7 linked regions of the Xenopus tropicalis genome follow. The protein of the gene in region 1 purifies or fractionates together with the protein of each later gene. This does not show direct contact. Links are inferred from orthologs where the notes say so. Each region holds a gene or a part of one and is shown on either strand. Other genes may lie near its edges.

The links.
Region 2: the proteins of erbb2 (region 1) and slc39a7 purify together in Homo sapiens (affinity purification with mass spectrometry; 3 studies listed by BioGRID and IntAct, with this or other methods). This does not show direct contact. The link is inferred for Xenopus tropicalis from reciprocal best matches to the Homo sapiens genes ERBB2 and SLC39A7.
Region 3: the proteins of erbb2 (region 1) and timm50 purify together in Homo sapiens (affinity purification with mass spectrometry; 3 studies listed by BioGRID and IntAct, with this or other methods). This does not show direct contact. The link is inferred for Xenopus tropicalis from reciprocal best matches to the Homo sapiens genes ERBB2 and TIMM50.
Region 4: the proteins of erbb2 (region 1) and tfrc purify together in Homo sapiens (affinity purification with mass spectrometry; 3 studies listed by BioGRID and IntAct, with this or other methods). This does not show direct contact. The link is inferred for Xenopus tropicalis from reciprocal best matches to the Homo sapiens genes ERBB2 and TFRC.
Region 5: the proteins of erbb2 (region 1) and vapb purify together in Homo sapiens (affinity purification with mass spectrometry; 3 studies listed by BioGRID and IntAct, with this or other methods). This does not show direct contact. The link is inferred for Xenopus tropicalis from reciprocal best matches to the Homo sapiens genes ERBB2 and VAPB.
Region 6: the proteins of erbb2 (region 1) and atp1a1 purify together in Homo sapiens (affinity purification with mass spectrometry; 4 studies listed by BioGRID and IntAct, with this or other methods). This does not show direct contact. The link is inferred for Xenopus tropicalis from reciprocal best matches to the Homo sapiens genes ERBB2 and ATP1A1.
Region 7: the proteins of erbb2 (region 1) and hsp90b1 purify together in Homo sapiens (affinity purification with western blotting; 3 studies listed by BioGRID and IntAct, with this or other methods). This does not show direct contact. The link is inferred for Xenopus tropicalis from reciprocal best matches to the Homo sapiens genes ERBB2 and HSP90B1.

What each region holds. Positions count from the first base shown.
Region 1 is NC_030686.2:9,808,464-9,811,963, forward strand, and holds part of erbb2 (receptor tyrosine-protein kinase erbB-2), read right to left. Parts: coding exon 3,458-3,500; intron 3,375-3,457; coding exon 3,228-3,374; intron 3,039-3,227; coding exon 2,941-3,038; intron 2,443-2,940; coding exon 2,266-2,442; intron 342-2,265; coding exon 71-341; intron 1-70. UniProt on the Homo sapiens protein: Protein tyrosine kinase that is part of several cell surface receptor complexes, but that apparently needs a coreceptor for ligand binding. Essential component of a neuregulin-receptor complex, although neuregulins do not interact with it alone.
Region 2 is NC_030684.2:72,029,295-72,033,312, forward strand, and holds the start of slc39a7 (zinc transporter SLC39A7), read right to left. Parts: upstream 2,801-4,018; 5' UTR 2,700-2,800; intron 2,672-2,699; exon of another isoform or gene 2,637-2,671; intron 2,365-2,636; 5' UTR 2,360-2,364; coding exon 1,934-2,359; intron 1,281-1,933; coding exon 1,112-1,280; intron 1,006-1,111; coding exon 940-1,005; intron 384-939; coding exon 255-383; intron 1-254. Other genes in the region: hsd17b8 (estradiol 17-beta-dehydrogenase 8), read left to right, coding at 2,999-3,044. UniProt on the Homo sapiens protein: Transports Zn(2+) from the endoplasmic reticulum (ER)/Golgi apparatus to the cytosol, playing an essential role in the regulation of cytosolic zinc levels.
Region 3 is NC_030684.2:81,747,692-81,751,935, reverse strand, and holds the start of timm50 (mitochondrial import inner membrane translocase subunit TIM50), read right to left. Parts: upstream 2,801-4,244; 5' UTR 2,797-2,800; coding exon 2,632-2,796; intron 1-2,631. UniProt on the Homo sapiens protein: Essential component of the TIM23 complex, a complex that mediates the translocation of transit peptide-containing proteins across the mitochondrial inner membrane. Has some phosphatase activity in vitro; however such activity may not be relevant in vivo.
Region 4 is NC_030681.2:102,796,953-102,800,452, reverse strand, and holds part of tfrc (transferrin receptor protein 1), read left to right. Parts: intron 1-375; coding exon 376-583; intron 584-685; coding exon 686-905; intron 906-1,632; coding exon 1,633-1,773; intron 1,774-2,151; coding exon 2,152-2,248; intron 2,249-2,963; coding exon 2,964-3,086; intron 3,087-3,168; coding exon 3,169-3,279; intron 3,280-3,500. UniProt on the Homo sapiens protein: Cellular uptake of iron occurs via receptor-mediated endocytosis of ligand-occupied transferrin receptor into specialized endosomes. Endosomal acidification leads to iron release.
Region 5 is NC_030686.2:2,725,218-2,728,717, reverse strand, and holds part of vapb (vesicle-associated membrane protein-associated protein B/C), read right to left. Parts: intron 2,493-3,500; coding exon 2,412-2,492; intron 1,967-2,411; coding exon 1,793-1,966; intron 869-1,792; coding exon 710-868; 3' UTR 670-709; exon of another isoform or gene 1-669. UniProt on the Homo sapiens protein: Endoplasmic reticulum (ER)-anchored protein that mediates the formation of contact sites between the ER and endosomes via interaction with FFAT motif-containing proteins such as STARD3 or WDR44.
Region 6 is NC_030678.2:1,071,709-1,075,736, forward strand, and holds the start of atp1a1 (sodium/potassium-transporting ATPase subunit alpha-1), read right to left. Parts: upstream 2,801-4,028; 5' UTR 2,763-2,800; coding exon 2,751-2,762; intron 1,732-2,750; exon of another isoform or gene 700-1,731; intron 654-699; exon of another isoform or gene 1-653. UniProt on the Homo sapiens protein: This is the catalytic component of the active enzyme, which catalyzes the hydrolysis of ATP coupled with the exchange of sodium and potassium ions across the plasma membrane.
Region 7 is NC_030679.2:49,296,943-49,300,442, forward strand, and holds the end of hsp90b1 (endoplasmin precursor), read right to left. Parts: intron 3,225-3,500; coding exon 2,979-3,224; intron 2,899-2,978; coding exon 2,762-2,898; intron 2,490-2,761; coding exon 2,411-2,489; intron 2,289-2,410; coding exon 2,133-2,288; intron 1,627-2,132; coding exon 1,504-1,626; intron 714-1,503; coding exon 684-713; 3' UTR 110-683; downstream 1-109.

The sequences.
Region 1 (3,500 bases):
AGAATGAATTAGTTCAGCAATATAGTTCTAATGAAGAATTCATAGTTGCTAAGAAGGGAAAGACGTATACCTGGTAGGTGTAGGGGAATGCTTGGGGAAATGCAGTCTCCTTCAAAGAAACAACTGTCAGTCTCATCCTCGCCGGAGTGCAGTGGGTCATCAGTATATCTGTGTGGAGAGCCGCTCTCTTCATTTTGGGGTGGGTCAAACACATATTCCCCTTCGCTTAATGCATCTGAGCCACTGCCCCCCGACCTCTCTGACATGGTACGAGCCAGTGCAGCACCACTGGGGGCAGTCTCCTGCAGCAGCGCCTGCTCTGCCTGCATCTCTGTAGCACTCTGAGGGGGGAAAGGTGAAAATGTTGTAAGGTAAAAAGAATGGATTGGAAATAAATAAATGGGCAAGTTCAAATATAGGATTTAACATTTTTGGCTTTAGTAGAAGCTTTATCATTGTAAAGATCAATTGAAAAGTCATATGGTTTTTATATACAGTCACCTCTCTGAAAGCCCTTAATCGTGCCTGTTTAGATTTGTCTGTATATAGAGACATGTGCCTATTTACTAGCCATGGGGTTGAAGTTCTTTATATAAAGGAAAATGGCTTAGTCAGTAAACAATCAGGGATCTGCCGACTTAAAGACCCACGGCCATCATATACCACTGTGAATAGGTTCATACAGAAAGGGCAGAGAGGATGGGTAATACACAAAAGCCCACATACACAGTGCAAGGTATCAGGGGGGCCAGTACCCCAGAACAGCTACACCCCAATATGGCAGTTCAGGCCCCCTGCCTCAGCTGGGCCCCTAGATGGCAACCCTACATATACAGACATATAGTAAGGGGTATTAAGGGAACAGTTCTCTTTTTTTATTTGTCCAATGTAAATAGAATTTTACTGCAAATGTCATGCTTTATGTAAAATAAATGATATACTCAGATTTACTATCTGCCTATTTGACTATTTTATTTAATTAAGAGACATGGTTCTTGATTAATTGCTGATTTCATTTAGTAAAGACTTAAGGTGGCCATACACGGGCTGATTGTAGCTGCCGATATCGGCCCCTTAGACCAATTCAGCAGCTTATCTGCTCGTGTAGGGGCACAAACGACGGGCCTTCCCGACCGATATCTGGCCTGAAATCGGCCAGATATCGATCGGGCGGGTTAAAAAATTTAGTTGGATCAGGGGCTGCATTGGCTCGTTGATACGGTCCCCGAACCAACTGCACCTATTACTGGCGTTCTAATTTGATGGTTTGGCCTCAGGGCCAATTGACCTAAATTCATATTGGGAGAAGATCCGATCTTAACGTGTATAACCATCTTTACAGAATCCAGTGACTGGAGGCAGGCCTGGACTGGGATTCAAAATAAGCCCTGGCATTCCAAGTACACAGAGGCACAAACAGCCCCCCAGCCCAATAAATAGTGACTATAGCACCTTACAGCCCCCCTGGCATTCCAAGTACACAGAGGCACAAACAGCCCCCCCCCCAGCCCAATAAATAGTGACTGTCTGTGGCACCTTACAGCCCCTCTGGCATTCCCAGTACCCAGAGGCACAAACAGCCCCCCCAGCCCAATAAATAGTGACTGTCTGTGGCACCTTACAGCCCCCCTGGCATTCCCAGTACCCAGAGGCACAAACAGCCCCCCCAGCCCAATAAATAGTGACTGTCTGTGGCACCTAACAGCCCCCCTGGCATTCCCAGTACCCAGAGGCACAAACAGCCCCCCCAGCCCAATAAATAGTGACTGTCTGTGGCACCTTACAGCCCCCCTGGCATTCCCAGTACCCAGAGGCACAAACAGCCCCCCCAGCCCAATAAATAGTGACTGTCTATGGCACCTTACAGCCCCCCTGGCATTCCCAGTACCCAGACGCACAAACAGCCCCCCCCAGCCCAATAAATAGTGACTGTCTGTGGCACCTTACAGCCCCCCTGGCATTCCCAGTACCCAGAGGCACAAACAGCCCCCCCAGCCCAATAAATAGTGACTGTCTGCGGCACCTTACAGCCCCCCTGGCATTCCCAGTACCCAGAGGCACAAACAGCCCCCCAGCCCAATAAATAGTGACTGTCTATGGCATCTTACAGCAGCCCCTCTGGCATTTGCCAGAACCCACAGATTGCCAGTCCGAGTCTGACTGGAGGGACTCAGGATACTCATGTGTATCCTCAATAGTAACATTTTATTGATGATACTGTGCCCATAAACGTGTTAGAATCAGGAGTAGAGACATGTCTGTTACCCGCGTTGATGAAATCCTGCTGCGATGCTCGGAAGTAACATCCTCTGATGGGAAGAATCCCCTCTGGGGCACCAGATATTCCTCTGCATCCACCAGGTCATCCATCCCGACTTCCTGCAGCAAGGCACTGTAAAACTGGGTGGTCATCGGGCTCGCCTGAGCCAGGAACTCTTCATTCTGAGGAAGTCAATGAAAATGGTCAATACTTCAGCATCCCTTGCATATCAGTTCTGAGAATATTATTTAGAATTTTTATGGTTTTTTGGTTATTTAGCTTTTTGTTCAGCGTCGCTCTAGTTTGGTATTTCAGCAGCTACCTGGTTGCTAGGTTCTCATTTTGCTACCAACCAGTTAGTGTAAGAGTTTGAAATAAGCATAAAAGAGGGACTGAACAAAAAGATATGGAATAAAAAGTAACAATAACAATGAAATGTAGCCTGGCAGAGAAATAGTTTTTGGCTGCCGGGGTCAGTGACCCCCATTTGAAAGCTGCAAAGAGGTAGAAAAGGAAAGCAAATAACTAAAAATAAATAAATAAATAATAAATAAATAAAATAAAAATAATAATGAAGACCAATGGGTTTCCATATGACGGTTCCCATGCTTGTGCTTTAGCTGAGTGTATTCTCTTGCATTTATTGGGCTCATAAACTACAACTGTTTTGCTTCTCGTACCTCAATGACCACATAACGTGACGGATCCCGAGCCATACGAGAGAGTTCACCAACGAGGTCCCGAAACTTGGGTCTGAATTCTGAGTCTATCATCCAGCCTAAATGAGAGGAAAAATGAGAGAATGAAGAATCTGCAGGCAGAACTACAATGAGAGAACTGCATGGGCAATAGGAAACAAATGAAGGATTATTGAGGAAAGAGGGTTATTGGGAGTTTGTGGAGAAGAGAAGACGGTGCTATTTTTGACTTTAATAAATGGAAATATTTATTAATGACAATCACTTACACTTAACCATGATCATATAAACATCTATGGTGCAGACTGGCGGCTGTGGAAGCCTCTCCCCTTTTTCCAAAAGGTCCGGGATTTCTCGGGCCGGGATTCCATCGTAGGGTTTTGCCCCAAAGGTCATGAGCTCCCAAACTGTTACACCTAAACGCCAACAACACACCCAAGCATTAGGTACAGAGCATATTCTGGCCAACTAGTTGTATATGCTGTGCTTTCTTGCTTACCGTAGCTCCAGACATCACTCTGGTGGGTGAATCTTCTATGCAA
Region 2 (4,018 bases), on another chromosome or scaffold:
TACAGTGCACATTAGTAGTAACTGCACACAGGGAAGCAGAAACCAAATACTAACTGTATTTACCAAAAGAATGTGACATATTTATATTATATATATATATATATATATATATATATATATATATATATATATATATATATATATATATATATATATATATATATATATATATATATATTACATATACATACATGTACATACACACACACACACACAGTAAACGTACAGAAAGTCACTGCTCATATTCAACATACCATGACTATGTCCATGACCATGTCCATGTTCTCCTTTTAAATGCCTCACAAACTTCTCAACAACAAGGAAGGCAATGATTCCAGCAAGGACCCAAAGGCCAACTGACATCATCTGGGAGTGGCTATGACCTGAAAGCAAGGAGGGAATATATGAGGAACGGGTCTAAAGAAGTCTCTTGGTAAAAAAGTGCAGCAAATTGAGATAAAATGGGGGAAAATGCTAGCAGCAAGGAGTAAAATCACTAGGTTGCATAGAATGGAGACAAAGATACTGAGGAATAGTTCACAATCAGAGTGCATGTAGAAACAATACAAAATTCAAGAGGAATTAACCCTACTGATGTGTATTTATACCATGGGTTGTCCTTAGCTGTTATGTATGGTAAAGCTTCAGAAATACTATCTGGCCTTTGAATACAAGTATGGGACTTATCCAGAATGCGCAGGACCTGGCATTTTCCATAATTTGGATCGATATACCTACCTAATCTACTAAAAAATATCTTAGTTGAGATCAAGTACAAGGTAAGGTTTCATTATTACGGAGAAAAATTAAATATGTTTTATAGTTCTGAGTTATTTGATTATAATAGAGTTTACAAGAGTAGTATTTTTCTCTCAGGCAATCTAACCCAAGTCAGGTCAGGGCCTGTTTGGCCTCTAAAGTAAATAGATCTGTGCTCACCATGAGAGTGTCCATGACCATGTGATTCTTCAGGCTCTTCAACTGCCTCGTGTACAGAATGTGGCTCTGTAGAGACATATGTAAATATGACTGTCAGACTACACTAAAAGCCATCACTTGAGTTGGATAAAAAAAGGATAAAGAGAAATAGATGACTGGGAACATAGCATACCAAGTGCATGAGGGATAAGGTGCAAGAAGGCGTCTCCAAGAAGCCCACCTGAGGCAAAGCTCAGAAGTAGTTTGAGCAGGGACTGGTGCTGGCTGCTATTAGACTGTACAGGTATCAGGAAGAGTATGAAGAAGGGAGCAGCTGATATCAGGAGTGTGGCACATATAGCCTAAGAAAGAAATTGTGTTAAAGAGTATATCTGGAGTATTGTACTGTAGAGCTAAGTGTATTAGAATGCAAAACCCTGCCACAGAAGCAGCAGTATAGCAGTGAGAACAGTCTTAAAATATATATAAAGCATGACATTGTACAATGGCATTGTATTACTAGACCTATCAAGGGTAATGGAAATAGAAAGTCTTTAGCCAGGGGCTACATAAACAGCAGAAAGAAACGTGACAACAATAAAGCAGCAAGAGAAAACTTTAGTACAATGCACGAGAATTAACAATAATGAATTATGGGCAGAAGCAGATGACTTATATTTAAAAAATATATTTTAAGATGAAATATGTATTTGAAATAACTATGAGACCGCAAGCTAACAATTGCTTTCTGGTGAAGTCAAATGAAATATATCTATTGTCAGGATGGTGGCACCAATGGAAAAATGTTACGCTTAGTCAGCGTTATTCAGTTGGTTACATCAGTGGAAAACATTATTTGGTTTAAAGAACACAACCTCAAACAATGGCAAAAGGGCAGGGTCCATATTACTAGTCCACTCGGGGTTAAAAAAGTGGGGAGAAACAGCTAAAGACAGTAAAACACCATAAAGCAGCAGTGCAAGAAAGCACCAGTAACTGAACGATGCATACTTACATATGTCCAGAGTTGCACAGGTTCCATTTTCTCTTTTGACCCATGACCATGTAGTAAATTATCTCCAGCTGCTGCCTCTCTTTTGGTGCGCTCCACTTCTATATGACTCTGCTCTTTATGATCCTGATTATGTCCTTGCTGGCTTTCCTCATGGCTGTGTCCATGGTGATCCTGATGGCTATGCCCATGATGAACATGGCTATGGCCATGGTGAAGATCCTCATGACTATGTCCATGATGGGAATGACTGTGTCCATGGCAATCATGTCCATGATGACTATGGCCATGTCCATGGTGACCATGACTATGGCCATGATGAAAATCCCCCTGTGACTGGGATAAGACTGTGTGCGCCAAACAACAGAACATCAAAATGGCTACCAATAAGGCACAACCAACACCACTTTTCAACGAAAACCGACCCATTTTACCTAAGAGAAATAAACATACAACAGTTTAGACACCCTAGTTACATCAGGCACAGCAACAAAAAGCATAACCATTTATCCCACATATCTAGAATTACATGCGGGATATTTTCTTTTTAAAGCATCCAACATAACCAACAGTCCATTAGAATTATGCTTGCTTCTCTGCTAGTCAATGCCCTATGGAATTCCTATGTAAGGAATATGAATGGCTTCTTTTTCTCAACCTCACTGCTTTCTCCATGTCAGTACTCTGTGCGCCTTGTATTACAGACCTGCTTTCGTGCCAATGTGCTTATAACCGCTGTGTAATTACCATTACCCCATTGTTCTATTACCTTCCCTGCTTCTCCTTTAACCACTGTGCGCCAAACCGGTACCCACTTCTACGTGGCACACAATTATCCGGTTCAAAATATCGCGTGAAAAGACAGACCGGAAACACGTCATCCGTCACTGAACTAGTAGTATACAGCGTGGCTTGCGTCCGCATCCTGTTGGGATTAAGCACTGTAGGCAATAATTCCCTGCTTAATAGCAGACACGCCTCGTTTGTACAAACCCGCCCTGTATCTTACCCTCTCTATGGTAGAAGACTTTCTAGCCTGACCTCTATTGTACGTGGATAACCGGTGTCATGGCGGCTTCCTGCAGGTTAAAGTCTATGCTGGCTCTGGTGACAGGTCAATCAAAACACAAACCGTATTAGTTGAAATGAAAGCTCCTTCTACTGTTCTTTTTGTGTAGCATATGTTGTCACGGAGAGATGCTTTGTGAGGGTCTCTGCAGAATTGAATGCACTGCTGTATTTGTTTAATAAACTTAACAAGTCTGTCATTTCCTTTAGCATTTAATTATGTAACTCTGTACTGACTGCTGTATCCTGAATAGATAGCTTGCATGGAGAGGCAGCAGAAATTGAACATGGGTTTTTAGGATATTCCCAATGAAAGCATTATTATGGTGTCATTCTGCCCTTGTCATCCCTTCAGGTCTCAACCCAGAGTGTTAAAGATACAGACCCACATGTGTTAAAAGAACCCATTACAACAACCTTTGTCTTTGCACCCAAAGTTCCCTTAGTTCATACTCCAAACTGTTCTTCAGATCTTTGTACATTTATTTTTGCTGCTCCCCACCCCCGCTTTGCCTAGTATGCAATTATATCTTTTTTTATGTAGGGATTGTTAATGTACATTAAAATGTCCAGCTGACTCCCATGACATACACATAGATGGGCAAAATGCAGTGATCCAAGCAATTGCCTCACAGGGTATTTTCTTGGGTCTGTCAGTGATTGCGTAGTGCCTTTCTGAGATAGTTGTTGAAACAATACACATGCCAGCTTTGGTAATTTATTCATAGTGACTGTTCAGTTGATCTAGTTGTGTTAAAAGTTGATCAACCAAATTGGAGGGCTACACAGTCCATTGGAGAAATAAATCTGTGCATGTAACCAGCTTTATCTTACTAAACACTTACTTTGATGTTTAGCTTTTTCTGTAATAGGTCTTAATGTATTATTATCCTATATGTATAAATCCAGAGGATTTAAATATTGCAACTCTGGTTATACAGAAATTGCTGCATAAATTATAGCCTTCTAATAGAAAAATGGGAATATTAATTTCATGTCATATCAACTTTTAAATAGTCT
Region 3 (4,244 bases), on another chromosome or scaffold:
CTTTCTGGATAACGGGTTTCCGGATAAGGGTGCGATACCAGTACTATATAGAACAAGAGGGCTAAACAAATGACTTTTGTAGCTTAGGGGAAAAAAAGGTAATAAAGAGCATTGTCACAAAGAAATTATTATCATCAATTTTTTGAAGCCCATTGGCTGACAGAGGCTCCCCACAACTGTTTGAATAGATTAGAATGGTGGGCCACCTGCCAAAGTCATAAGCAAAGACTGAGTCCTTAAATGGGGTTCTGGGTGCACCATATACAGTAGATATAACTCAGCATACATGAGCCAGAAAAGGGGGCAATAGAAGACTCAGAGAAATATGGACAGTGTGAAAGCCCAGCAACACAGACCAAACAGGAAGAATATTTTCATTAGCATGTTCAGGAAAGGTATCTCCTGGGGAATGGGAATGTGGAGAGCACAATGATCCCAGAGGGAAACTGAAAGCAGGGGTGAAGCTAAGCAGTCAACATTTTATCTGTGTGGGTAAAAATATTAAAGCCATATTTTTGAAATTTATCTTAAAAGTTAATATGTAGTTAGTATTACATGTATGGGAAACATTATCTGGAATGCTCGGAACCTGGGTTTTTTGGATAAGGGAGCTTTCCCTAATTTGGGTCTCCATACCTTAAGTTTACTAAAAAATAATTTAAACATTAATTAAACCCAACAAAAACTGTTTTGCTTCAAATAAGGATTAATTATATCTTAGTTAGGATCAAGTGCAAGGTACTGTTTTATTATTACAGAGAAACAAATATATTTAATATTTTGAATTATTTCATTAAAATGGGGGCTATGGAAGATGGCCTTCCTGTAATTTTGAGCTTTCTAGATAACGGGTGGCCGGATAATGGATCCCATACATGAACCAGTTATCTGAGCCCTCAGTAATTTTCAATTCAGTACCTGTAATACAGAACACAGAGTACCTATACAAATTCCCACCTACAGCCTCCCTATGAACTGCGATAGAATTATCACAATACCATGGGGAACCTTCTTCAGCATTTATGAATATATAGAGTATAAAATATGAGCCATGAATATCCTGTAAATTATATATTTATAAGAGGAGCTTAGGGATTTCACAGTGATAATCCATGCCTAGTGCAGTAATTTGTGTCACATGACTGACAGACGTGTACTATAAAAAAAAATGTAACCCCGTTGTAAAATATGAAAATATTATAAATCACCACAGAATTTCTTAATGACTTCATAAAAGCACTCAGCCTGTGGCCTTGTGCCTTCTTATAGTTGTGGAACTATTTACTATAATGGCAGTGGCACACAGCGAGATTAGTCACCCCGTGACAAATCTTTGTTGTCGCGGGTGACTAATCTCCCCGCAATGCCATCCCACCAGCTTGAATGTAAATCGCCGGTGGGATTGCAAACGCGTCGCTGCGATGTTTAGGAGTTGCCCAAAGTTTCTTCTCAAGAAACTTCGGGTGACTTTGGGACATTGCAGCGACGCGTATGCCATCCCACCGGCGATTTACATTCTGGCTGGTGGGATGGCATTGCGGGGAGATTAGTCGCCCGCGACAAGTCGACTAATCTCCCAGTGTGCCACTGCCCTAGGGGGTACATTATATTCTATCTATTGTCTAAAGTTGGATCCCCCACCCAAACAGAGCAAACTGCCAAGCCCTCATCTTAAAAATCTAGTATAAATAAATTTAAAGCAACTGGACTTGTTTGGTAACAAGTCCAGTTGCTTTAAATTTATTTATACTAGATATACCATGACCTGGATGAATGAAAACCTTCATAGACATCATCTTAAAAGGGATATAAACCCCCAAACAACACTTTGCATAAAGACAGTGTAATTTAAGCAACTTTTTTCCAAAATACATTCATTAAAATTTTCAGTGACCTAATAATTATTAATGTTATTTCTATTAAAAACATTATCCGTCTCTCCCTTACTGTTATCTATGTCCAGGCATGGACTGGCAATCTGTGGATTCTGGCAAAAGCCAGAGAGGTTGCTGTAAGATGGCATAGAAATGCCAGGGCCCATTTAGAATCCTAGCCCAGGCCTGTCTAGGTCTGACTCAGTGCAATAAAAGTCAGCCATACATGCCCCTCTTCACAGGTCTCTAATATGTTGGCTTCTACTACAAATGTTTTATGTCAGAACTGGCAGGGCAGAGAAAATTTACATTGACAAATAACATTAAAACCTGAAAAATGTGTCAGTAACATACATGGTTGCACAGAATTGCAATTTATTTGCTAGGCTGCTATATGTTGGAAGCGGTACAGCAGACCTTTCCAGCATATTTTGACATTTATAAAATGATATAGCTGCTAGGGACAGCCTGTCGCAGAGAAGCTAACTACAGCACCTTCTGTTCTCCATTAGAATGGATGATTTGATGATGATTTGTTCATTAGTGCAATTATGCCATGGGGCCTTAACCTGCACTAATGTAAGCTGGGCAAAACTGCCCCTTGTTTATGTTATTATGACCTGTCTGTAGGACAACAACCTCATGTCACCCAGAGCCAGGGGGCAAGCTCAGGTTACTAGCCACAGCTTACAAGGTTATGGGTTACTCATCTCACATGGCAATAGTTTTCAGGTCAATGGTTCTATGGAAGCCTCACCTCGTTCTCTCGCCTCTGTAACTTCTCCTGCAACACGGCCCCCGTCAGTCCACCTTCCGCTCCCTGCTCGGAGCTAAATGCTCGATACCTCAGCTCTGTTCTTTGCCCCAATACCCGCAAAAGTCGCACCGACCTCCCGCACACGGGCACCAACGAGGCCGCCATCTTTCCTCCACAATTCACCAGTAACCTCACCCAATCACGGATTAGCCGGCTGCACCGCTAGCCAATCGTCAACTTGGAATGTATTCTGACAGCAAATAGCCTGCTGGCAAGGATAGTAGGCCAATCGGAGACCTAAGATAGAAAAAACTTATCCAACAGCAACTGGACAATTTGACAGATGTGCCAGAAAAGATACGATCGTCGCAGGGTGTTTGTGGTCTCCATATTGAGTGTGGCAAAGCGGGAATTGAATAAGGGAGGGGGTAATAAATAAGAGCAAATAAACTAGGGGATGCTGCAGCTGCAATGTTTATCAAGGTCTGAACTTGACTGAAATACAATAAGCTGTTACTCTGTACTACTATTACGTGTGAGTTTGCGTTAGAAGCTTATGTAAAGGGATTGCGTTGTTTTAGCCAGACATAGATGTGAAGGGATATAGAAGAAGAATTTCAATGTTTTCATAGCCATGAATCACATCTCAGTATCTGCTGTCAGTACATGAGCTATAGTTATTGAAATGGTTACTGATCAAAGCCACCAGCACAAAGCATTTTGAGTTAGAGATCATGTAGCTCGTTATTAAAAAGCACTGTTTAGTTATTACTGGGATTTACAGTACTGATATGGGACCTAAATGCTCGGCACCTGGGGCTTTCTGGATAAGAGCCTTTCCATAATTTGGATCTCCATACCTAAAATATACTGAAAATGTATTTAAACATAAACCCAGCTTATTTTCTCAGATTTTGGTCTTTTGTCAACCCATCAAGCACAAGGTACTGTTTTATTATAACAGAGAAAAGCTTATTGTTACAAATAAAGTGTATGGGAGATGGCTTTCCTGTAATCCTGAGCTTTCTGGGTAATGGGTTTCTGGATAAGGGAACTCAGACCTGTACAAGGCACATTTATCACAGGAAGTTTTGTGAAAGATGTTATTGGTACAGTTTTTATTGTTAAATTGCATATGCCTGGTTACACAAAGAATTCATACAGAGCAAAAATCTTAATAAAATAGGTTTATTTTGTATGAACAACATAGCAAACAAAACTTTATAACAATTATTTACTGTAAAAAATATGTAAACAAACTGGCACACCACACAACAAATAATCTTAGGCTGTATATATAATATTAGTAATGTTTCCCCCTGGGCATAAATAAATAAAACATAATATTTATATAAATATTAATATAGCATACAATACATTTGCATAAATAAAAAAATTGATTGAAAACCTTGTGCAACACTATGGTCCATCAAAATGCAAGTCTGAGGCAGTGCATTTTAATATATTTCCATTTTACAGGACTTTTATGCATTAAAACTTGTGTCTGTCCACGTCCCTGCTTACCTTTTTAAGCTCCCCTCATTATATTTTGCAAATGCCTAGTGGGCACCACTACCGGTTTGAATATACACAGGTCAGTGCTTGATGGGAGG
Region 4 (3,500 bases), on another chromosome or scaffold:
GATGGTAAATAAACTAAATATACACAAATATGAATTTTAAAAACAAGTTTTGACTTGTAAAACAAGGCTACTCCCATAACTGAAAAATTTTGAATTCAAAAGATAGTCTGGCAAGTCCAAGCAAGTATATTTCATAGAGGAAGCTTATTTAGTGGATTATTATATAAAAAAAATACACATACTGATAACTCTAGCTTTTCTTTGTAGATTGTATGCCCCCCCCCTCCAAACACACACACACACACACACACATACCTATATACTTTTCTGTGTAATTAGGCAGTGAAATAGTTCATGCTTGGTCATTGAAATGTATTGATCCTTGAAAAAATACACTAAACATGCTTAACACATTTTTAATACCTTGTGTGTCAGATTGGCAGATACCCTCTTTCCTACACACGCTTCAGCCTAACGCCTCAGACTGATGGAGATACTAGTCAAGTAGAAATGAAGCTTGCTGATGATGATGAGGAGTGTGGGGACCAAACCTTGGGAGAGCCTGTTGTGAAGCAAAGATCAGAAAATAACTGTAAAAGGATCTGCATAAAAATTCTTCTGGGGGCTTTCTTAATCTTGCTTGGTCAGTATTTGTGTATTTACTCTCCACACCTTCACACCTTCAGAATAATGACGTTTAAAATATAATATAATTTTTTTTTTTTCTTTCTTAACCCCACTGCAGGATTTCTTATTGGATATTTAAGTCACAGAGGGCGTGATTCCTCTGTGCAGTCAAACAATGCCAAAACTGTGGAGTGCTCTACTGCACAAGCAACACTTTCTAATGATGATGAGGATGAAACCAATTTGGCAGCAGAAATGCCCAGTGTGCTTCATTGGAGTGATCTGGCACCCATCTTAAACTTCAAGATAGATAATCTATTTCTGGAGGATACAATTAAGTATGTGGTTTATTCATTCTTTTTCTTTCTCTATTAATCTTGCTGAATGGTTGAACATTATGTACCGTAAGTGCTTTCAACAGTCCCTACATTTGTGAGTTAAGCAATACATTACAGGGATTACAGACAGTCTAAATGTGAGGTAATAGGCCTGGCAACAATTGTGAAGTTTAAAGCTAGCCATACATGCACCGATACAATCGTATGAAACTACGGATAACAGGTTAGAAAATTTCTGTCGAATACTGCTAAAATCTGTACATGTATTGTGTATCTGACGATATCCTTGGGGGAACTACAGTGCATTTCCAGGATGTCACTTTCGTACAAATGTTGCCTGCCAACTATTTCATGTACAGAACATCCTCTGATTTGTTATTTTTTAGGACTTTTATTCAACTATTCCAGTCTGAATGTTTGTTTTGGTTCAATATCCGAATGTTTGTTGGATGAAAACTGAAATCTGAATGTGTATGGCTACCTTAACAGGTTTAACATTTTGATTGGAGCCACACTAAGCTCCTTACCCAATTTGCTGGTGTAATTCCTCTGACTTTAAAAAGATCAAGTAGCTCAGTCATCTTGAAATTTTGGTACTTTTTCCCTTTTGGAAGAAAAAGGATAGGAATAATATGGGTAAAAATCAGGGGAAATGGCAATTGATCATATACCTTTCCATCCATTATTCATAATAAGCTAAATATTTTCTCCATCTCCTCTTTGTTAGGAAAATATCTAAGATTTCTCGTGAAGCTGGCACCAGTGAGGAAGAGAGCGTGGCCTTAATGGTGCATGAGGAGTTTGGGCAGATGTCCTTGGATAAAGTGTGGAACGATGAGCATTATGTTAAGCTACAGGAGCTTGGAAAGTGAGTTTTGAAAGTACCCCTTTAATTTTCCCACAAAGGTTATAATCACTTTTGTATATTGTATATTTTAATTATTATAGTACAACTTGCTGCAGTGGCTGCAGCATGCAGTAACAATTCTGTTAAATTTCTCAAAAAAAGGCATTGCTAAAGTGAGTCCTGAAAGGATGGGCATCCTATAAAGGAGAATGAAATGTTGAAAAACGAAGTGGCGGGGGATGCCAATTTGTTGGCCAACACTTTCTTAGCATAATCACTTTCTTAGCACTCATAAAGCATATTTGACTTTTTAAATTAATTAAAGCTTAAATTTTTACGAAATTTTAGAATCCCTAATTAATCAGCCATGCCTTTGTTAATTTTTTTTTTTTCCCTTAGCTCACCAAATAAAGTAACAATTTTGAGCAACAGTAACCGAGAAGAGACTTTGCAGCCTTCTGCGTATGTGGCCTACAGCCCAGCAGCAAGTGTAAATGTAAGTTGTCAGTTTGCATTTTTATACTGAATCTTGGTATTAAAATCTTCAGCTGGTATAGCAGAGATATCTTCAATTACTTTAGAAATACTGCACTTTGATTTATTATAATTAACAATTTTAGATTGTGTACTGTACTCAATATGCAAATTAGAATGGAGAGTTGTGCTTGATTATGGAGAAGGGAAATAACAGACTTTGAAGGGGAAGTTCACATTTAAATTAATATTTAGTATGGTGTAGACAAACAATTTGCAGGTGGTTGTCTTTTTTCATTGGGGGATTTTTTTTTTTTACTTTTAATGTTAGGCTTGGGAAAATTTAAAATAACAATAAAATTTGTAGTTTCACAGAGCAACTGTCTTGTCTGCTGGGGTCACTGACCCCACCTTACCCCCAAGAACCAGTATTTTTAATTGCAAGTGGGGGGAAAAATGCAAAAGAGGATGACCAATTGAAATGTGAAGGTTATCCCATAAACTCATTCCAGTATAATAGTGTGTCCATTGAAGGTGTTTCCTTAGGCTGCCTGTCCTGTTAGTGCAGAATAACCAGAAAATTATTTACCGGTAAGACTATAGCCTTGCTTCATACAGCTGTTAAAAATGATTAGGTTGGGATACGTTCAGAATTTAAAATGTTTTATACCTGCCACCTCAGTACGCCTTTTGTTGCTTGCCCCTCTGTATTTCTTACTTTGACTTATATTCTCAAGGGAAAACTAGTGTATTGCCATTACGGCCGAAAGGAAGACTTCCAAGCCATACAAGAAAAGAATATTGATCTTTCGGAAAACCTGGTCCTTGTACGTTCTGGATTAATCAGCTTTGCTGAAAAGGTAACTTTTTTGCAAATATAATGTTTTTTCTGTTGTGCCATCATTCTAGTTACTTTGCAATAACTAATACATCTCTTTTAAGGTTAAAAATGCAGAACTCCGTGGGGCAAGAGGAGTATTAATCTATCCTGAGGCATCTGACTTTACATTCCCAGGCAGCCAAACTGGATCTATAGATTCTCCTTTTGGACATGTAAGTAACACTTAGGGGCAGATTCATGAAATCACGAGTTTGAATCCCGAATGAGATAAATGCGGATTGGATACGAATTTTTTTTTTTTTGCGAAAAGATCGCAAATATCACGAAAATGCTTATGAAAAAATTTGTCACAATAATATTGTATTGGCAAACCGAAAGTCACGAAATTGTCGCACCGAACGATTGTAAACAGCGGGAAAACCTTTCCGATTTT
Region 5 (3,500 bases), about 7.1 Mb from region 1:
TCCCCAGCCCAAATAAATGATACTGCTTTTAGTTATCCAATATGGCTGCCAGGCCCTAGTGCAGATCAGCGGATACAGAAAAACAGGACTGGCACAGGGGGAGGGACGGGGGGGCTGCTTCGCACACAAGTGACAAGACGGAGGTTATATAAGAGCAGCAGGAAGGCTTATGAGATCTCTGTCATGTGTATATATATATATATATGTAGTATACAGCTGTAACCGTGACAGCCAGAGCCGCCTAGGGGAGGGGCAAAAGGCATGAGACCCAGGTGGAAAAGCGAATCAGATCTCAAGATGAATTTTTTTTTGTTCCTTTCATATTTTTTAAAAGAATTAACCCGGCAACACAAACCCGCAGGTTAAAAATTGTTTTTTTTTTTGTGTTCTTCTTTAAAATGACATTGTACAGTGTGACTATAAAGAGTTAACCGTGACGCTCGTTAATTTGAATCGGACTCTTCCTAACGAATCGTCCCCGGGGGCAATTAAACCTGACTCTAAAAGCGAATGTTACGGAGGCGCGAGGGGAGGGGGGGGGGGAGTAACGTAAAGGCAACACCTGTGAAATGTTTGACGTCTCCTCCATCGCTCACACATTGTTAGGAATCAATTTATTTCTGGATATGGCTACACCAGCGACAGGATGATTTCTTGCTTTGTGTATGGGGGGGGGGGGGGGGTTCTTTCCTTTTCTGCATGCGTTGGTCTACAAGGCCACTTTCCCTATAATGACGCCGATAATGAAGAAGAGGATGACCAGTGCAAGTATCCGAGTGTTCACTCCTTCTTCTTTCGCGAGGCCGGAGACGGGTCGGTTGGGGCTGCTTGTGGGCTGCATCTTTCGCATTCTCAAACCGTCTTCTTCCTGCAACAGTTGCACAAAATTGTGTTACAACATGGGGAGGGGTGGCAAATATTCTTCTACACAGACATACCTGCCTCAACACCTGTCTTTACTAAAGGATTAAAGAAATATATCATGGTATAAATACATGGTCCCCTGGTCCTCATGGTTTCTAATATCCTTATCATTTACAGTAGGGGGTACATTATCCCTTATAATACATGAGTGATACTCAGAGTTCCCTGTATAACTCAGCCTGCAGCCTTGTGCCTTTATATGGGGGGCACAGAACCCCTCAGTGACTGCTAATATCCTTATCATTTACAGTAGGGGGTACAGTATCCCTTATAATACATGAGTGATACTCAGAGTTCCCTGTATAACTCAGCCTGCAGCCTTGTGCCTTTATATGGGGGGCACAGAACCCCTCAGTGACTGCTAATATCCTTATCATTTACAGTAGGGGGTACATTATCCCTTATAATACATGAGTGATACTCAGAGTTCCCTGTATAACTCAGCCTGCAGCCTTGTGCCTTTATATGGGGGGCACAGAACCCCTTAGTGACTGCTAATATCCTTATCATTTACAGTAGGGGGTACATTATCCCTTATAATACATGAGTGATACTCAGAGTTCCCTGTATAACTCAGCCTGCAGCCTTGTGCCTTTATATGGGGGGCACAGAACCCCTCAGTGACTGCTAATATCCTTATCATTTACAGTAGGGGGTACATTATCCCTTATAATACATGAGTGATACTCAGAGTTCCCTGTATAACTCAGCCTGCAGCCTTGTGCCTTTATATGGGGGGCACAGAACCCCTCAGTGACTGCTAATATCCTTATCATTTACAGTAGGGGGTACATTATCCCTTATAATACATGAGTGATACTCAGAGTTCCCTGTATAACTCATTATATGGGGGGGTCCATGCCGGTACCTTAAATTGCTTGTACTCCTCCCGTAGCCTCTGCATTTCTGTCTGCAGCCTCTTGTTTTCTTCCACCACTTTCTTATACTCAGAATCATCCAGATTGGAGCTTATTGATTTGGACAGAGAGGACTCAGTCTTTGTTATACTGCTAGAAATGACTTTGTTTATCTCTCCATCGAGCTGTGGGGAAAACACAAACAATAAAGTGTTAGGAAAGCAGCCGGATGTGACGCAAGGTTTCGGGATTCATATAAAAGTACTAATTGTATATTTCCTATTGGGGGAGAGCACAATAAAGATCACACAGCAGAGCAGCGGCTTATAAATACTGAAGGTAAATCTTCCATTGCTAAAGGCCACTATACCATAATATATGGGAGTCCTGTGCTCACAAGAGCTGGGAACAAGATGGAGGCAGTGGGACAAGATGGCGACTAACTCTTTATATTCATTTTGCCAAATCCGGTGACGGCATTTTTGTTGAACACACAGCTGGCAGTTGGACTGTCCCATTGTATATAATAAATGACAGTCAGTCAGTGTACACTGGGCCCTGTAGGACATGTAATACAGAAGGAGATAAAATACACGCAATGAAGGAGCAGAAGGAAGTTGTAACACTCACAGCTTTTTCATTCTCTGACGGCAGCTCAAACACACACCGGAGCTTGGAATCCATGAGGTCGTCTGGCTTTGCTTCTTTCCACTGTGGGAGAGAAAATGCCCCCGTTACAGAAATCAAGTAAAGAAGGAAGAATTTATATGTTGTGCAGAGAAGCGGTTTCCATGGGGCGCGGCCAAAAGGAAGGGTCTGTGGCTCCGACAATACTGCACTATGGGCGGGTAAACAGCATGGCACTAACATATCTGATATGATAGCACATAAACAGATGGTAGATGATAGACAGATAGGTAGGTAGGAAGGTAGATAGATGATAGATATAGATAGATAGCAGATGATAGATAGATAGATAGATAGATAGGTAGGAAGGTAGATAGATGATAGATATAGATAGATAGCAGATGATAGATAGATAGATAGGTAGGAAGGTAGATAGATGATAGATATAGATAGATAGCAGATGATAGATAGATAGATAGGTAGGAAGGTAGATAGATGATAGATATAGATAGATAGCAGATGATAAGATAGATAGGTAGGCAGGTAGGTAGATAGATGAGATAGATGATAGATATAAATAGATAGATAGGTACCTGATAGATGATGATAGATAGATAGATAGATAGATAGATAGATAGATGGTAGATGATAGACAGATAGGTAGGTAGGAAGGTAGATAGATGATAGATATAGATAGATAGGTACCTGATAGATGATAGATAGATAGATAGATAGATAGATAGATAGCAGATGATAGACAGATAGGTAGGTAGGAAGGTAGATAGATGATAGATATAGATAGATAGGTACCTGATAGATGATAGATAGATAGATAGATAGCAGATGATAGACAGATAGGTAGGCAGGTAGGTAGATAGATGATAGATATAGATAGATAGGTACCTGATAGATGAGATAGATAGATAGATAGGCACGTAGGTAGATGAGATAGATAGATAGGTACCTGATAGATAGATAGATAGATAGATAGGTAGGCACGTAGGTAGATGAGATAGATAGATAGGTACCTGATAGATAGATAGATAGCAGATGATAGACAGATAGGTAGGCAGGTAGATAGATTATAGATAG
Region 6 (4,028 bases), on another chromosome or scaffold:
CACAGGGGGGATGCAGTTTCCTTTGCACATCTCACTTCCTGTCTCAGATAAAGGGAGACTCCTATAAAGGAATTGGGGTTCCATGGGAGGCTGCACGGGCAATAAGGTCCCATCATGTTTGGGAATGTGCAGCAATGGGAGAACTGGTATTTCTGCACTGAGATTCCCAACAAGCAACTGCCCCGGGGCATCAATTCTTACCCCTCCCCCAGGAAAACAGAATGGAGTGTAATATAATTGGCCTCTGGAGAGGAGGGTGTCTGCCCACAACATGGCCACAAACTACTGGCCTTCTCCTAGGTAACACAGCAACTGTGTGCAAGCTCTTGGGACCAGACACCCAGTAGGAGTCACTCCCGGCTCCAATGAGCATTGCAGGAATCCCAGGGCCCAGTGTCCAGCTATGAGAATGGGGCAAAAATGGGGCAGGAATGGGGCAGGAACGGGGCAGGGAACAAATCTACATTATGCCAAGTTACCCCCATCTACACCCCCCCAGGGAAAGGGCACTCTCACTGCCCCATAACACCCACCTCCCATTAACAACAGCACAATGTGCCCCCCATACACATACGCAGGCACCCCACACTGGCACCACAAGGGGCAATTCCTACATATACAGCCGGAGCCCAGTGTATCAGTAACGCCCCACCCTGCAGTAATGCCAGTTATACCCCCACCCTGCAGTAATGCCCCAACCTGCAGTAATGCCAGTTATACCCCCACCCTGCAGTAATGCCCCAACCTGCAGTAATGCCAGATATACCCCCACCCTGCAGTAATGCCAGATATACCCCCACCCTGCAGTAATGCCGCACCGTGCCCTGTACCCATGTAACCTACCCGCACCGTGCCCTGTACCCATGTAACCTACCCGCACCGTGCCCTGTACCCATGTAACCTACCCACACCGTGCCCTGTACCCATGTAACCTACCCGCACCGTGCCCTGTAGCCATGTAACCTACCCACACCGTGCCCTGTACCCATGTAACCTACCCGCACCGTGCCCTGTACCCATGTAACCTACCCGCACCGTGCCCTGTACCCATGTAACCTACCCGCACCGTGCCCTGTACCCATGTAACCTACCCGCACCGTGCCCTGTACCCATGTAACCTACCCGCACCGTGCCCTGTACCCATGTAACCTACCCACACCGTGCCCTGTACCCATGTAACCTACCCACACCGTGCCCTGTACCCATGTAACCTACCCACACCGTGCCCTGTACCCATGTAACCTACCCACACCGTGCCCTGTACCCATGTAACCTACCCGCACCGTGCCCTGTACCCATGTAACCTACCCGCACCGTGCCCTGTACCCATGTAACCTACCCGCACCGTGCCCTGTACCCATGTAACCTACCCGCACCGTGCCCTGTACCCATGTAACCTACCCGCACCGTGCCCTGTACCCATGTAACCTACCCGCACCGAGCCCTGTACCCATGTAACCTACCCGCACATCTCATACATTGCTCCTGTGCCCCCACAGTCTCTCCCATTTTGATGCTGTCTGTCTTTACACTGCTGTCTCTCCCATGTAGGCTACTGTCACCCCCCCCCCCCCCCCCATAAGCACTGTTTCTTCCATACACCCCATATCTATACTGCTACCTGTCCCATACTGCCCCCTCACACACTACTGTCTCTTCCAGAGGCCCCCCATATACCCTGTATCTTCCCTAACCCCCCCATATACCCTGTCTCTTCCCTACCCCCCCATATACCCTGTCTCTTCCCTACCCCCCATATATACCCTGTCTCTTCCCTACCCCCCCCATATACCCTGTCTCTTCCCTACCCCCCCCATATACCGTCTCTTCCCTACCCCCCCATATACCGTCTCTTCCCTACCCCCCCATATACCGTCTCTTCCCTACCCCCCCATATATACCCTGTCTCTTCCCTACCCCCCCCCATATATACCCTGTCTCTTCCCTACCCCCCCCATATATACCCTGTCTCTTCCCTACCCCCCCCATATACCCTGTCTCTTCCCTACCCCCCCATATACCCTGTCTCTTCCCTACCCCCCCCCCATATACCCCGTCTCTTCCCTACCCCCCCATATACCCTGTCTCTTCCCTACCCCCCCCCATATACCCTGTCTCTTCCCTACCCCCCCCCATATACCCTGTCTCTTCCCTACCCCCCCCATATACCCTGTCTCTTCCCTACCCCCCCCCCATATACCCCGTCTCTTCCCTACCCCCCATATACCCTGTCTCTTCCCTACCCCCCCCCATATACCCTGTCTCTTCCCTACCCCCCCCATATACCCTGTCTCTTCCCTACCCCCCCCCATATACCCTGTCTCTCCCTACCCCCCCCATATACCCTGTCTCTTCCCTACCCCCCCATATATACCCTGTCTCTTCCCTTCCCCCCCCATATACCCTGTCTCTTCCCTACCCCCCCCCATATACCCTGTCTCTTCCCTACCCCCCCCCCATATATACCCTGTCTCTTCCCTACCCCCCCATTTACACTGCTGTCTCCCCTAACGCAATACTGTCTCTTCCCATATTCACTGTCTAACACACTCGCTGCTGTCTCTGTCACCCCCCCATACTCACTGCTGTCTCTCCCACACTGCTGTCTCTCCCACACTGCTGTCTCTCCCACACTGCTGTCTCTCCCACACTGCTGTCTCTCCCACACTGCTGTCTCTCCCACACTGCTGTCTCTCCCACACTATTCACACAGAAGAGCCAGAGGCCATGTTGCCCAAGTCCCAGCTCACCCCGTATCCCATGGTGGCGGTCTGTTCTTCGTTTCTCGGTAGAGCTCGCCTCCCTCCGCCTGACACTGAGGTCGCAACGCGCCCGGCTCCAGTATTTATACCTCCGCAGTCCCACCGACGTCACCGCCTTCGGACGTCACCGTTACTAGTGACAACAGTGCCAGCCCCTCTAGAGCCAGCCCCGCCCACCAAGAATAAGATGGAGAACCTTGCGGTGCGTTCAGGGGGATATGCGTGTCACGTGTCCGGGGCGGGGCTGAGCGTGTAGCAGGCAGGTCACATGGGGGAGCTTGAGAGGAAAGATTCCATTATGGCGCCCCTTTAGCTCGGATTCCCATCGCTTCAGCTATCAGTCTAATTAATGGAAACCTTTCCTTCTCTCTGCGGCCCAGTGATGTACATATAGTAGCAACTGGGTGTAATGAGGTGTGGGACCCTAGAATCCCTCATTGTAATACATGGATTCACTACTACATTTTATATATAAATCTCCTTAATATATATATCTATCTATCTATCTATATACACACCACTTGTGTACAGGGAGTCTAATCCCCACACAGTACAACGGGGCCATTTCCCCAGCGTGTCGGCCCCACTCTGTTCCCCACACAGTACAACGGGGCCATTTCCCCAGCGTGTCGGCCCCACTCTGTTCCCCACACAGTACAACGGGGCCATTTCCCCAGCGTGTCGGCCCCACTCTGTTCCCCACACAGTACAACGGGGCCATTTCCCCAGCGTGTCGGCCCCACTCTGTTCCCCACACAGTACAACGGGGCCATTTCCCCAGCGTGTCGGCCCCACTCTGTTCCCCACACAGTACAACGGGGCCATTTCCCCAGCGTGTCGGCCCCACTCTGTTCCCCGCACAGTACAACGGGGCCATTTCCCCAGCGTATCGGCCCCACTCTGTTCCCCACACAGTACAACGGGGCCATTTCCCCAGCGTGTCGGCCCCACTCTGTTCCCCACAAAGTACAACGGGGCCATTTCCCCAGCGTGCCAGCCCCACTCTGTTCCCCACACAGTACAACGGGGCCATTTCCCCAGCGTGTCGGCCCCACTCTGTTCCCCGCACAGTACAACGGGGCCATTTCCCCAGCGTGTCGGCCCCACTCTGTTCCCCACACAGTACAACGGGGCCATTTCCCCAGCGTGTCGGCCCCACTCTGTTCCCCGCACAGTACAACGGGGCCATTTCCCCAGCGTGTCGGCCCCACTCTGTTCCCCACACAGTACAACGGGGCCATTTCCCCAGCGTGTCGGCCCCACTCT
Region 7 (3,500 bases), on another chromosome or scaffold:
CAATTTGTATTTGCAGTGCTCTTACAGCCAACTACTGGCAAAATAATATTAATATAAAATGACACAGATTAATATAGAGCCATTATTTCAAAAACAGGAAATGCTGTTCTTCATTATAGAAACAAAGTCACCTCAACTTTATTGTTGTCAACTGCTGTGGAGTCTGCCTGCAACACATAACAGTAACCCAAAAAAAGTTACAGATTGTTGCACTTAAATCATTTTATGCTTAACAGTGCCATTTTCCACAAAATTATATTTACAGAATGTTTACAGTTCACAAATGCATCAGGACCAGCTCTTTGTAGTGTTTTCTTAAACTATTTTTCAGCATGTCTCAAGACAGTGCCATTGGTGACACCCTTTGTTATCATTTTCAGACAGTTTCACAGGATAAAAAGATATAAAACATAATGCCTCTTCTAGACGAAGAGGTTTTTAAACCTGAAGTGCTCATATTCCTAGTTTAAATTGACATTCCCTTTTCAGCTTTGGACGCTAAATCCAGTATGGCGTTTTCAACATTTATTGTAACATGAAAGGTTTTACATCAATATACTCATAAATAGTACAAATTTACATTCATGAGGAATGTTAAAAAAAAAAAAAATCCAAACTAAAAAACCCTCCCATCCACAAAAACAAAAAAAGTCCCTGGATCCAAGTGGACGTCTGAATGGAATTTACAGTTCATCTTTTACATCTGTGGATTCCTGCAGAAGGGAAAAAAAAAAAAAAAGCGTTAATAAATTTGAGCAAACTGCCTACTTAAAATTAAATCAAAATAAATGAACGTCTGGTTCTGTTTTCATTGGAAGGTTCCCCTCACTACACTGACCTTAAAATCATAATGGCACTTTACAGATTTAAAGTGTTGGTATACCACGGAAACCCTACCCAACACTATTTAGAACAGGTTTATAAAACAAAAAGATACCTCAGTGCTTCCTCCACCTCTATATAAGCAGTGATGTTGGGGGTTTAAAAACAGACTTATTTGGTCTATGAACTTAACTGCCCATCCCAAACCCTAGGCAAAGCAACAGGTGTGTACAGAAGTGATGGGGGTTGTTTCTGTTACAACATTTTTCTGGCTTCACCTTTCTGTGCGGAAACATCTATTATACCGTACATAGAGCTTTTAAAATTTGTATGAGTTTAAAAGGAGAACTACACCCCCCAGGTATAAAAGCCCCCTTAATTGGCCTGCATTGATCCCTCTTCCCTTCTCACATAACCTATAACTTTAAAAAGTGGCCCGATAGAAAAACCCAACCTAAAAGAGCAGTGCAGTGTACCCTGCTTGAGCATGTGTTAATGATTTCCGGCTAGCCCCAACTGCGCATGCTCAAGCAGTGTCTTTACTGGTGGTGAGACCCGAAGCAGTTTCTATTAAAGGGAAGATGGCACCCAGGTACCCTGCTCTGCTTTTTTAGGTTGGGTTTTTGTATAGGACTTTTTTTAAAGTTATAACATATAAAAAGATAGCAATGTGCAGTTTACCTGTGTGTCTGTTTCTTCGGTTTGTGTTTTTTCCTCAGCCTCTTCGGCATCAACCTCTTCCACATCTTCATCCTGTTCAGCATCATCTGCAGCAGGTTCTTCCTCTTCTGGTTCTTCTTCCACCTGTTTAGGAGGAAAAAAAATTAACAAATCAATAACATGTGAATTGTACTTGCTGGCGTATGATACCTGTACTCCATTTGCATCTGAACACCCTTTAGGCTGACAACTCCAAGGTTATCTAAAATCCTAAATCTGGCTCTATAGTTGGATGGGGTAAACTCCCATGGTGAAATAGCCAGTATGAGTCCATAAGAGTTCTGCAAACTTTACACCTGGCAACAAAACACAGTGACTGATAATTGCCAGTACTTTTTCTACTCTGAACCCAGTGATCATGGGAACTGTATACATTTGGCAGGCAGCTTCAGCTACAGTAGTTCAAACAGGGACTGCCCATTGAAGCACACTAAAGGGTTGTGTGTCACGGTTTATGCCAGAACTCAAAATATTTTAAATCTACATGCAGTAGGCAGATGATTTTCGGGGTACAGAAAATGTTTAAATATAACCGTTTTGTTGAATGGTGCTTAAAACTAAGATAGTAGTATTCATAATACTGCAGTTACCTGAGCATCAAGGTCAATCTTTAAGCTGAGGCGCAGCATTCTTTCAATCCTGTCTCCATATGATTTAGTATCAGGCAGATGATATCCTGAACGTAAGGTGGCAGTTTCAAAGAGTACAACTGCAAGGTCAGCTACAGTCTTATCGTCTTCATTTTCCTAAAACAATGGAGATATAGTAAGAAAATGATATACTTGCTCAGCTTTTAAAGCATATTGTGCAATGATACAATTACACATTGCCTCAAAACACAAGGATAACAAACTAAAAAAAAGCTCACCTTTACTCTTTGCAACATTTCCTTGATCAAAGGATGTCTTGGATTTATTTCAAATGTCTTCTTCTGGCCTGAATAATAACTAAAATGAAGTTTTATACAGTTAGCAATTTAATCATTTAACCAACTCAACCACCCATATATTTTCAAAAACTTGTGCCCAATGCCCACAGTTGTCAAATTGTTATTTTATGTACCACACCCACATGCCAAGCAGAATTTACAAATGTAATTTCATCTGTGCAGGCTGACTTTAGGCGGATATCCTTTACCTTTAGCTAAAAACTAGCTAGCTGCCAACAAAAAGAGCTGTGTATCTAACAGAAGGTCATTTCAATACATAATGGGACTTACTTTGTGGAAATATCTTTTCCTGTCTGATATGCTTGAGCTTTCATTATCCTTTCCATATTGCCAGACCAGCCATACTGACTGGCTACTAGTGCGCAAGGAGATTGTGTCAAACGCTGGGATACTACTGCTTTTTCAATCTTAAAAAAAAAAAAAAGATTGTTATGCAAGCATGGGAAATTTGTAGCATCTCTTTCCATAAAAAAAAAACCCCACATACCTGGTCTTTCAAAGCCTTTTCTTTCATCCATGTCAGCAGTGGTTCATATTCCTTCTCCAATGCTTCCCGTGCCTCCTTTGACTTTTCATTTTCATCAAACTTAAGGCCTTCCTTTGCAACATTTTGGAATCTCTTCCCATCAAATTCTGGCAGGGCCTGGATGCAATACTCATCAACTGGTTCAATTAAGAACAAAACTTCATAGCCTTTCTTAAGGAGGCGCTCAACAAATGGAGAGGACTCGACCTGGACAGCAGCACAAAAAATAAATAAATAAATTATATCACTTAATTACTACGTGTTTAATATTCTGGAATCAGTCACAAAAGAATACATTTGTAAACTGGTATGATACATATTTTGCATGGCAATACAGTTTGGAAACAGCAATTGAATGTACATCTATGACTATTTCTATGTGGGACACAGAAATAAGGGGAATCAAAGAATCTGCTCACTGGGAATCCCACATCTTGTAAGTGGGTATTAAGGTGTATCGATCATGCATTTAAACGCAACAAT